Linked DNA regions of Canis lupus familiaris. The protein of the gene in region 2 purifies or fractionates together with the protein of the main gene of each other region. This does not show direct contact. Links are inferred from orthologs where the notes say so. Each region holds a gene or a part of one and is shown on either strand. Other genes may lie near its edges. The genes, in order: TRIM25, MAVS and PLAAT4.

What was found.
Region 1: the proteins of MAVS (region 2) and TRIM25 purify together in Homo sapiens (affinity purification with western blotting; 3 studies listed by BioGRID and IntAct, with this or other methods). This does not show direct contact. The link is inferred for Canis lupus familiaris from reciprocal best matches to the Homo sapiens genes MAVS and TRIM25.
Region 3: the proteins of MAVS (region 2) and PLAAT4 purify together in Homo sapiens (affinity purification with western blotting; 4 studies listed by BioGRID). This does not show direct contact. The link is inferred for Canis lupus familiaris from reciprocal best matches to the Homo sapiens genes MAVS and PLAAT4.

Annotation. Positions count from the first base shown.
Region 1 is NC_049230.1:31,683,335-31,687,079, forward strand, and holds the start of TRIM25 (E3 ubiquitin/ISG15 ligase TRIM25), read right to left. Parts: upstream 2,798-3,745; 5' UTR 2,724-2,797; coding exon 2,142-2,723; intron 1-2,141.
Region 2 is NC_049245.1:17,973,685-17,977,429, forward strand, and holds the start of MAVS (mitochondrial antiviral-signaling protein), read right to left. Parts: upstream 2,713-3,745; 5' UTR 2,694-2,712; intron 1-2,693.
Region 3 is NC_049239.1:53,930,950-53,934,694, forward strand, and holds the start of PLAAT4 (phospholipase A and acyltransferase 4), read right to left. Parts: upstream 2,696-3,745; 5' UTR 2,586-2,695; coding exon 2,577-2,585; intron 1-2,576. UniProt on the Homo sapiens protein: Exhibits both phospholipase A1/2 and acyltransferase activities. Shows phospholipase A1 (PLA1) and A2 (PLA2), catalyzing the calcium-independent release of fatty acids from the sn-1 or sn-2 position of glycerophospholipids.

The DNA.
Region 1 (3,745 bases), on a different chromosome or scaffold from region 2:
ATCAATGAGACTGGTTCTGTCCCAGTAGTGAACAGCAGCAGGGCTAGAAGGGGAGGCCGATCGAAGGACTTTGCAAGCCAGGACAATGGTGAGGCCTGGGGAGGTAGCAAGGCCAGGCCTGATACAAGGATTACAAAGCCAAGCACGTACGGATGCAGGCCCCAGAGGCTGAGAGAGAGCTGTAGCTCCAGGCCAGGCTGAGAAGAACCCTCCTGACCCTACTTGCCTTCTGACTTCATGGATAAGAACTTCTAGAAGAGCCTTTTGGCAGGAGCCGTCATGGGTCCTCAAGGATAGGCCCATGCACCCTGAGGCAAAGAAGAAATGGGCAGCCTGATACCTGCCCCCCCCCCCCAGCAAGTTCTCTTCCACCCCAGCTGCACAGAAAGTACACCTGCAGCACTTAGGCAGTACTCGCCCAGCGAGGAAGCAGTCAGAATTGAAACCCAGGCGTCAACACCAAGCCCAGGTCAGAGCCCAGGTCAACCAGCCACCTGCCTGTCATGGGGGCCTGCCTACAAAGCACTTTCCACACAGCTCCAGAGCCTCCTGACCGCCCTCGCAGATTGGGAGGGAAGGCTACTATCCCATTTTACAGATGAGGAAGCTGAGGCTCAGAAAATTGCCGTGACTTGCCCCAAACCATAGTTGATATGGGGCAGAATGCAGCTCCTGGCTTGAAAAGTGATACAGGTTCTTTAAGGCAGCCGGTGGAGACCCAGGTGGCCATGCCTGACCTGGTCATGCCTCAGAGGTCAACTCTCAGGCCATGTCTTGAGGTCTGGTCTTTGAGACTCAGGGAAGAAGTTCTGAGGGCCCCAGCTCAGACAGAGAAGCAGACCAGGCCCAGGAATGGCTATGGTTGCACAGGAACAAGACCTGGCTCCTGGTCCTGGCGCCTGCCCCTCCCTCCCCCCCCCACCCGCCCCAAACCTCTGCCAGGCCTCCTATCTCCTTCAACAACAGGACAGTCCTTGTTCTCCATGACAGGGCCGAGAGACTTAAAGGCAATCAGGCTATGCTGTGGAGCTCATGCTGATATAAAAAAGGTGGTCCGATTACACCTTGTCAGCCCCTGCCTTGAGTCCATAAGGGGAAATTATGATTTACCCCAAACCACTAAAACCATCACAGACCTGGAAGGCTCCTTTAGGAGCCACCTGGTCCCACCTCCTCAATTTACTGATGAGCACTCAGGCCCCGGGGACCAACAGTGTGCTCGTAAAGTCTCACAGCCAGGCTGGAGGGTACTGTGGTGCAAGAGTCTGGCGCTGCCTGTGGGGGTCTCCAGAGAGATCTGGCATTTGCCCACGGTTCTGCTCATCATGATCCTACCTGGTCACTAGAACTCTTGGGGATCCCTGGGTGGCACAGCGGTTTGGCACCTGCCTTTGGCCCAGGGCGTGATCCTGGACACCTGGGATCGAATCCCAGGTGGGGCTCCCAGTGCATGGAGCCTGCTTCTCCCTCTGCCTATGTCTCTGCCTCTTTCTCTGTGTGTGTGACTAAAAAAAAAAAAAAGAACTCTCTGCCTACCGAAGCTTTTTGGTTCACATGATCTCAAGCCTCCAGGAATGTCCCATGCTCCAGGAATGTCCCAAACTCGGGTATTGGGCTGGTCATGGGGAAAAGTGGCAAACTCTAGAGTCGAACCAGGGAGGGGTCCCAATGCCTGCTCCACCACTCACAGGGTTAGTTTAGGCTAAATGAACCTCTCTGGATCTTCCGTTTCCTCAACTGCAGGATGAACCCAATTAGATCCACCTCTTGGATGCTGCCAAGATCTCCCGAGGTAACCTCCAGGGCTCCTATTTGATATTGGAAACCCTCTACTAAACGCCGTCAGCCAAGGAGTAGGCTTAAGGCAAGCCACATCAGCTGTCTTCCGCGGTCCCCTCTGTGCAGCAGGGGCCCGCGGAGGGTGGACCACGGACGACGACGGAGGAGGCCTGTATGTTCTCCTTGCCCCGCCTGGGTGGTCAGGCCCAGCAAGGCCCATCCTCCCACCCCAGGTGGCCCGCGCTGGGCCTCGAGGCGATGCGTGCACGGTGGCTCCCTCGGCCCCGCCAGCCCCGCGGGCCCCAGGCGGCCTCCCTGTGCCCTCCCGCGCCCCCCCCCCGCAACCCCCCCGCCCCCCGCACCTCCAGGTCGGCGCTGGCCTGGCTCAGGGACGCAGGCGAGCAGGCCTTGTGCTCTATCAGGCAGATGTAGCAGATGCACTCGTCATGCTGGGGGCAGAAGAAGTCCCGCAGCCGGTTGTGCTCAGCGCACTTGCGGCGCAGCAGGTCCTTGACGGGCGGCTGCAGCTGGTGGTCCTGGAAGGCGGGGCTGTCGAGGTGCGGCTGCAGGTGCTCCTGGCAGAAGGAGGCCATGCACACCATGCACGTCTTGACGGCGGGCGCCTTCAGGCAGTGGTCGCAGGCCACCGGGCCGGTCTTGGCCGGGGCCGCGGGCGTCCCGCCGTCGGGGGGCTGGGGCGCCGCGCCCGCCTGCAGGAGCTGCTCCACCACGGCGCACAGCACCGTGTTCTTGTGCAGCTGCGGCCGCGCCTGGTAGACGGCGCGACACTGCGGGCACAGGTACGGCGGGCCCTGGACAGCCCACGTCTCGTCCAGGCACGCGCCGCAGAAGTTGTGGCCGCACGGGGTGGTGACCGGCCCCTTGAAGGGCTCCAGGCAGACGGAGCACGACAGCTCCTCGGCCAGGGGGACCAGCTCGGCCATGGCGCTCGGCGGCCGGACGGGACGCGCTGGGACGCGCGGGCTCGGGGCGACACTGGCGCCCCACCCCCCAGGCCGAGGAAACGAAACCAGCGAGCGGCAGGGCGGGCCCGCGGCGCTCCAGGAAGTCACGCGGGGCGGGGCGGGGCGGGGCGGGGCGGGGGTCCCGGGGCGCCTGGCGCGGCCGTCGGGCTCCGGGTCTGGGGCGCCCCCCCGCGGCGGTCTCTACCCGAGGCCGCCCCCGCCCCCCCCCGCCCCCAGCAGCCGAGCGGGCCTGCCCTGCACGCGAGGCGCCCCGGGGCGCAGCCTGAGCCGCCCTGCAGAGCTCCCCGAGCTGCGCTCCCGCTGGGGGCCCCGGGCCAGGCTGTCTCCGCACTGGGCTAGCGCCCGAGGCCGGGCAGGGAGGGTGCCCCTCTCCCTCCCGACTCTATGTATTTATTCATGAGACACACAGGCCGACGGAGAAGCAGGCTCCATGCAGGGAGCCCGACGTGGGGCTCGATCCCGGTCTCCAGGATCACGCCCCGGGCTGCAGGCGGCGCTGAACCGCTGCGCCACCCGGGCTGCCCATCCCTCCCTCTCTAACTCCCTGGGGCTCTTGGGTGGCTCAGGTCGTGATCCCCGGGGTCCTGGCATCGAGTGCCCCATCGGGCCTGGCAGGGAGCCTGCTTCTCTCTCTGCCTATGTCTCTGCCTCTGGGTCTCTCATGCATAAATCATAAAAATAAAAATATTTTTAAAAAGAAAAAAAAAAAAGGGCAGCCCCGGTGGCGCAGCGGTTTAGCGCCGCCTGCAGCTCAGGGCGTGATCCTGGAGACCCTGGATCGGGTCCTGCGTCGGGCTCCCTGCATGGAGCCTGCTTCTCCCTCTGCCTGTGTCTCTATGAATAAATAAATAAATAATCTTTAAAAAGAAAAGAAAAAAAAAACCTTTAATAAACAAATACATAAAATAGACTCGTTTCCTCCCCGCTGGTCGGTGGGACTGTGGCACAGCAGCTAAGGATAGGTCCCTGAAGGCCGACCC
Region 2 (3,745 bases):
GAACATGACCGCAAGCCCACCATTAAAGCTTGCCACATACATGTTCTTAGGATAGGAGGCTAGTTCCACTCACCGTATGATCTAGGGCAAATTACCGGCTTTCTACAGTCTTCTCTTTACCCCTAAAATGACTCAGAGGGCTTGTTTTGACAATACAGTAGCTCAACTGCATAAGCCTGACATTTACAAGTGCCTCAATTACTAGCAATTGCTACTACTTGCTTAGGTAGGACTTACCACAATTTGCAATTATAGATGGGGTTGTCTGTGAGTTCCTTACCTGCCTCCCCCTCAGGGAGAGCTGCAGGGAATAAGAGGGACAAGATCTCTGCCATCATCCAATTTATATTCTATTGGGGTGGGACAGATAACAAATCAGTAAACACGTACATAAATAAGAATTCCAAATAGTAACCAAGTTATGAAGAAAATAAACCAGGGTTTTGAGACAGAATCCCTGGAGAAGGACGTGCTGCATGAACAGAGGTGGTCAGGTAAGTCTTTCTGAATTGGTGACATTTGAGCTGAGCCATTCTGAGCTGCAAGATCAGCATTTTGGGCGGAGGGCACAGCAATTTAAAAGTCCTAAGGTGGAAATGACCTTGGCATGTTTGAAGAACAGAAAGCAGGTCTGGGTGGTCCAGGTTTAGAAAGCTAAGGGGAGGGGAAGGGATCAAGGTCAAGGAGGTTCTGAAAAGTGGTGGCTCATGTGCAGTGTTGCAGGAAAGGACTCTGGGGGTTGTTATTTTTGCTTTGGGGGGTTTCTTGGAGTGAAATGGGAAGCCACTGGGGGTTCTGAGCAGAGAAGGGAGAGGATCTGACTTATGTTAAAGACCTCTCTGGTAGTTGTGAGGACCTGGATTGTACAGAGGCCAGGATGGAAGCAGGGAGACAATTGGGAGGCTGAAGCAGGGGGCCACAGGATGGGTATGGCCAGAATGCTGCCCATGGAGATGGTGAGAGGTGGCTGGATTCCTAGTGGGTCCTGGATGTGGGAAGTGAGGGAGAGAGAAGAATCAAGGATAACTCCTCAGGCACTAGGTAGATGGATGGTGCCATTTAGGCAGGCCAGAGAACCTGGTGGAGAAGCTGTGGTGCAGAGAGGATTCCAAAGCTCCATTTTGATCAGGTGATCATAGTGTCTCAAGTCTGAGACACTATGACATGTCCAAGTGGGTTTTCTGGGAAGAAAGGGGTCAGAAGAGGAGCCAGACTGGAGCAAAAATGTGGGTGTGTGGCTTGGGTGGGACTCTAGAAGATAATGTTGCAGAGCAGAGCTGGGGCCACCAGTCTGTCACCCATATGGGAAATGGGGCAGTAGTCCTGTCTGCTGGCCTCATAGCCTCATGTGGCATGCCTTGCTCTGTCAGCCACCAGGTGCTACATTATTGGTGTGGCAAGTGTCAATGACAGAAGTCAAGAGGTTCAAGAAGATGGGGCAGGGGTCCTCTGAGCGTTCAGGAGATGAGCAAAGAACTCTAAGGTGGCTAAATGACGCTTTTCTCCTTTCTTTCCATGGCATGTGGGGAGGGACAAGGATAGAGTCAGGTGATACATTCTTCTGCATCTGAGCCGCAGCCCTAAGGACAAGAGTTTGGGGGGTATGGAAGTAGAACATGCTCCAACCAAAAAGGAAGGAAGCCCATATTTGTTCATATTTATTCATGATCTACTATAGGCAGGCACATTCTAATTTTCTTTCCTTTAGGAGAGGAGAAATGATGCTGGGTTGTACAAACAGACCAGTGGCCCTAACAGGATTTGAACCCAGGACTTGCTGTCTCATTGCAGTTCACCATACACCTTACAGAACATAGGGGCTGCTGCAACAAGTGAGACTCACAGCCCCAGAGGGACCAAGGCCACTGCCTGGGTGAGGGGAGTCCTCAGATGGGGGTGTGCCAGGGAGGCTGAAAGACGTAGTCCCTTCTCTTGTAGGAATAGTATGTAAATCATTCAGACAAGGCTGACTGCATGCTAACCTGCCCTGTTCGGCAGTCGCAGTTCTCAGATCGCTGACTGTCCTTCCAGAAGTTTTTAAGGCTCCACAGCGTGCACAGAACGTCGTTTTTTGGTTGTGTTTTTTTTTCCCCCAATGTTTTCCTAGCAGCTCCTTCCGGTCTCAGAGAAGGGCGGACTGACGCTGCGAGAAGTTCCTACCTTGAATGCCCCGGACGCGCTGAGTGCGTCCCGGAAAGAAATAACCACCCGGAGGAGAGAGGCGAGGCCTCACTGATTTGGCTCCAATTCCTGGAAGGAACCAGGCCCGCGGAGGGAGGGAGGGAGGCTGTTCTGGTCAGATGTCACCACCGAGAACTGTCAAGGCCCGGGGGAGGACGGCGGCCTCTAGGCGCGGCCGCAGCTCCGGGAGGTTAGGCCTCGCCCCAGGGTCACCCCCGGCCTGCGGGGCGCTGGAGGCACTCAGCAGCCAGCGCCTGTCTGCTCCCCCAACCTCCCCTCCCGCCCGAGCACACGACCCACGCCCCCCCGCCCCGCCCGGCGCTGCCGCGAAGCGCGGCGCCTCGGGACCGGCTCTAACCCAGCCCCGCGCAGCCAGTCCCGTCCCCGGACCCCCGTGCGCCCCGGTGGGCTCCGCGTCCCGCTCCGCTCTTGCCTCCGCTGACCACCGCTCCGAAAGCCATCGGCGCGCCCAGAGCCCAGGGGACCGACCGCGCCCGGGACGGCTAACTTACCTCGGTAGCCACTACCCGGCTACCCGCGGACCTCCGCAGACACCCCGGAACCCTCCCCTGCAGGAGGGGGCGCGGCAGAGAGGGGCGGGACCGCGAGGCCATTGGCCAGGCGGCGGGGGCGGGGCGTGGCGGCCAGCCTGAGCCACTGGGCCGCGGGGGTGGGCGCTTGGCAGTGGTTCGAGGGCCTGGACCCGCGGGACAGGCGCTCCGGGCAGACCTAGGCTCCTGCTGGGGCGCAGAGGATCAGATTATTTTGTTTGTCCAGAACAAACTTCCAGGGGAAATACAGAATCTGGCTAGAACTCAAGTGGCTGACCGACCTCGGAGTCAGTGCTCGGCTGGGTCCCCATGCTTCCTACGCCAAGCAATCACTCCTCCTGAGTAATTTGAGGGGGGAGGGTCTTTATGGCATTTGTACCGGGGCACCCAGGGCCTGGCATAAAGTTAGTGCCCAATAAATATCGAGTGATACGCAAAGTGCACAGGAAGCGACACCAATGCTGGGCCTGAGGAAGCAGGATCACAGTGCGAGGAGGCTGGGTAGGTGAGAGCAGGGCAGGGGCGCCAAGTTCGGGCTGCCCAGACTGCTGGCTGTGGGTCTTGAGTGCTGTGTGGGAAAGGCTTCTCTGCCCAAGGGTCTGGACCAGGTACCTCCCCACAGCGCCTGCCAGCTGCCTGGCCCTTCCTCTGTTTGGGGCTGAGGCCAGCAATTACTGAGCCTCCCACTGTGTTCCAGGTACAGGCTTAAAGTCTTATACCTTAGAAGCCACTAAATACTCAGACAATCACCAGGTAGAGGTTTATTTTTCCTGGTTTTAAGAAATATTAAAAGATTCAGGGGTGTCTGGGTGGCTCAGTCAGTTGAGGGTCTGCCTTTGGCTGGGGTCATGATCTCAGGGTCCTAGGGTCAAACCCGCATCTGGCTCCCTCCTCATCAGAGAGCTTGCTTCTCTCTCTCACTCTGCTGCTCCCCCTGCTTGTGCTCTCTCTCTGTCAAATAAATGAATAGAATCTTAAAAAATAAATAAATAAAAGATTCAGAAAATGGCAGT
Region 3 (3,745 bases), on a different chromosome or scaffold from region 2:
GATGTTCATCACCTGATGAGAGCCTGGAGTGGGAGGGAACTCCTGGCCTCTGTGAGGTCCTCAGCCTTCTGTCACTTTTAGAGCTTCCCCAAACTGGGGGCTGAAGTCTGGATAAAAGGACCTTGTGGAATAGGAGAGTGGGGATTTGTTCAGTGTGCCCACATTATCATGTATGTATGTGCTTGTGTACATGTGGTATGGGCTGCAGTGCAGTAGCACACATGAATATATATGTACGTGTTGTGCATGTGTGTTCTATGTGTGTTGTGTTCTGATTACATGCATATCTGTGTGTGTTGCATATTGTGTGTGTGTGTGTCTGTGTGTGTGTGTGTGTGCGTGTTGTGGATACTCATAGGCACACCGAGGAGGATGTGAATGTGCACGTTCAGGTTCATTGCACGGCTGCTCCTGAGAGTGTTGACGTGACTCCCTGCATGAAAACCCCTTCACTGAGATTGGGAGCCCCGAACCCATCGTCAGCAGTCGGGCAGGGGAGTCACCACCTTCTCTCCTCTTCTCAGACTGACATTCAGGTCCTCATCCCACCTCTTGGCCCTGGTTGTCCATGGCCACACAGGCACCTGTTCCTCCCTGGACTCTGTCCCCGCCAGCCTCAAGACACCCACCCTCGGAGATGGCAACCTGAGAGGCAGGAGCTGACAGCATCCTAAGGAAACCTGAGACTCTGTGGGGCCAGCTAGCATCTGGACCCATGGGGACGGTCACAGCACGCACATGGAGGGCTTGTGCCCTCCCCCCCAGGCTGCCATGGCTTCTGCTTTGAGAATGTTTCAATTTCTTCCCTTTCTGAGCCAGCTCTCAGCCCACAACCCTCTATCTCTGATTGCAGGCCACCTCATGGGAGACCTGGGGCCTGTGTACCCCGGCCCTCTTCTTTGTGCCAATATCCATCCACCAATGTAGAATCCAGGAGTTTCTCCTTAATTCTCCTCCTCAAACATCTCTCACACTGTGATTCGTTTCAGGGCAGCCCCCAACCCTGTCTCTGAGACCCTCACCCTCTTTTTCCTGTGTTTTTTTTTTTTTTTTTTTTTTACTTTATTCTAGTAATCTCCATACCCAATGTGAGGCTTGAACTCATGACCCTGAGATCAAGGGTCACATGTTTTTCTGACTTAGCCAGCAAGGTGTCCTGACCCTAAGGCCTCTTGACCATAGGCCCCACTCCTATCCTGGCCTCCTGTCCCTTCTCCCCCACATCTGGTCTCCCCAGGACCCACCGTGGCTTTCCCACAGAGCACATCTGGCCTCAGGGCATGGGGCCTGCTCTGTGGGCCACTCACAGGCCCTCCTCACCCTCCCTGCCCTCTGCTCCACAGGCTGCCAGGCTTGCCCTTCTCACCACACAGCTGGCTCCTGCCTCTGCTCCCCTGCACACCTGGCTGTCTCTGCCCCCAGTCCCCTTCCCCACCCGCTCCCTTCCTCTTCTCATCCACACCAGAAAGTCCTCTCTGAGAAGCTGCCATCAGGCCCGCCTGGCTCAGCTGCCCTCTCTGGGTCCCCAGGTCCTGGGGCAGCCACCCCCTCTGCACAGATCATGTTGTGCCGGGACTTTCCCTGCCTGCCTGCACCTCTTCTGGGTTTGGAGCTCCAGTGGGGCGGGATCCTGTGTGGTGCCCCTTGCCTCCTTCCTCTCTGGGAACCAGTGAGGGCCTGGCCTAGAATGGGGGCCAAGGGAATCTCCATGGAAGAGAGGCTGGAGGACCAGCAGGGCTGGGACCCAGGGCCAGGGCCTCCCCTCTCTCAGCCAGGGCACGGCTGGTCCAAGGGTGGCCTCCACGCTGGAATCAAAAGGGGGTTTTGCACTCTGGATTCCACCTGTGATAAGGTCAAGCCCAGACACCACGCGCATAGGAGCTGCCAGCAGATCCAATGTGAACTTGGGCCGTGCCTGGATAAGGAGATGGTTGCCCAGGCAACAAAGGCCGCTCCTTCTGGAATGATCTCATTGCCCTGAATTGCCTGAATTCTACTTGTTCCCCTTCAGCTGTACGCCCGCCACCGAGCCCTGCCTAGGCCTGCCTGGGCTGTGTGGGAATCTGGACACCATAGAGGTCAGGAAGGGAGTCCGCGTCAGAAAGCTGAAATTCAAGCCGACTTCACAGGGCAGGCCAAGTGCCATGGAGCAAGAGGGAGAGGAGGACAGAGCTGAGCAGGCGCCGAAGTCCATCTGGAGCCAGGGAGCCAGGCCCAGCGGGGATCCACTCACCTCCCAAGTCCTGGGACCCCCCGCCCTTCACCCACGCCCCAGATGCTTCCCAGCTCAGGAGACAGAGCCCCCTGCCACCACAGCTCCTACCCCCGGAGGCCCTTGGGCCCCGGCTGAGCCAGATGGAGCGAGGAGGCTCCCTGGACCCAAAGCCCTCACAGCCCAGCAGGGGCTTTTAAAGAGGGACTTTTAAACTACAAAGAGTCTTCCAGAACCTCCTTCTGAAGCTTTTCCAAACTTTGGAGTTAACTGTGCCCAAGGCCAGGAACCCAGACTGAGGCCTTTATAGGAAGGGGCCCCCCCACCCCTGGAGAGCCCTAGGTAGAAAGTCAGGGACACTTACCTCAGTCATGGTGCTGTCTGCTGTGTGCTGCTTGTGCACCAACTTTTATTGAAGTTGAAAGTTTTGCTTTCACTTTCCTTTTCGATGCTATGTAAAGCTACTTTTCTTAGTAAAGTAAGCATTAGGCCCAGGGTGGAGCCCAGCACCAGGCTCAAACTCAGGATCCTGAGACCAAGACCTGATCTGAGGCCAACACTCAGATGCTTAACCAACTGAGCCACCCAGGCACCACAGAAACAGTTTTGTTTGTTTGTTTGTTTTTAAAGATTTTTTATTTATTTACTCATGAGAGACAGAGAGAGAGGCAGAGACACAGGCAGAGGGAGAAGCAGGCTCCATGCAGGGAGCCCGACGTGGGACCCGATTCCAGGACTCCAGGATCACGCCCTGGCCCAAAAGCAGGCACTAAACCGATGAGCCACCCAGGGATCCCGAGAAACAGTTTTTAAAGGGAGACTGAACAGTCACTCTAAATGGAAGGTCTGTGATTACCTACCTCAAAACATAGAATTGCTGTGGCTTGTGATTGAACCTGGGTCCCACCCGCTCGTTGCACGACAGGCCAATATGATGAGGGAGACAAAGAGTTGGGACAAGGAAAGCGATTTTATTCGAGAAAGCCCGCTCACTGAGAAGACGGTGGACTCATGTCCTAAAACACCACTGTCCCATCTCCCTGCAGGAAGGGCTTTTAAAGGGGAACAGGAATGAAAAAAGAAACCAGCTACAGTGCCACGAGGGCTAGAGTAATCCACCACATGTCTTCAGTGATCGAGCGTCAGGTTCTTCAAGTTTCCTGAGAGATTTTTTTTTAAAGATTTTATTTATTAATGAGAGACACACACACACACACACACAGACAGCCAGAGACGCCAAGGAGAGGGAGGAGCAGGCTCCATGCAGGGAGCCCGACATGGGACTCGATCCCGGATCTTTAGGATTACGCTCTGGACTGAAGGTGGCACTAAACCGCTGAGCCACTGGGGCTGCCCTCCTGAGAAATTTTAAGCAGAATTGATTACTAGCTTATCATGTGCTTATGGGGTGATGTGCAAGAATATGATCATTAGTTTGTTTGTGCAATGTGTTCTGCCTTAATTGAGGATTCCTATGAAACCTAAGGACAGGGCCACCTGGGTGGCTCAGTGGTTGAGTGCCTGCCTTTGGCT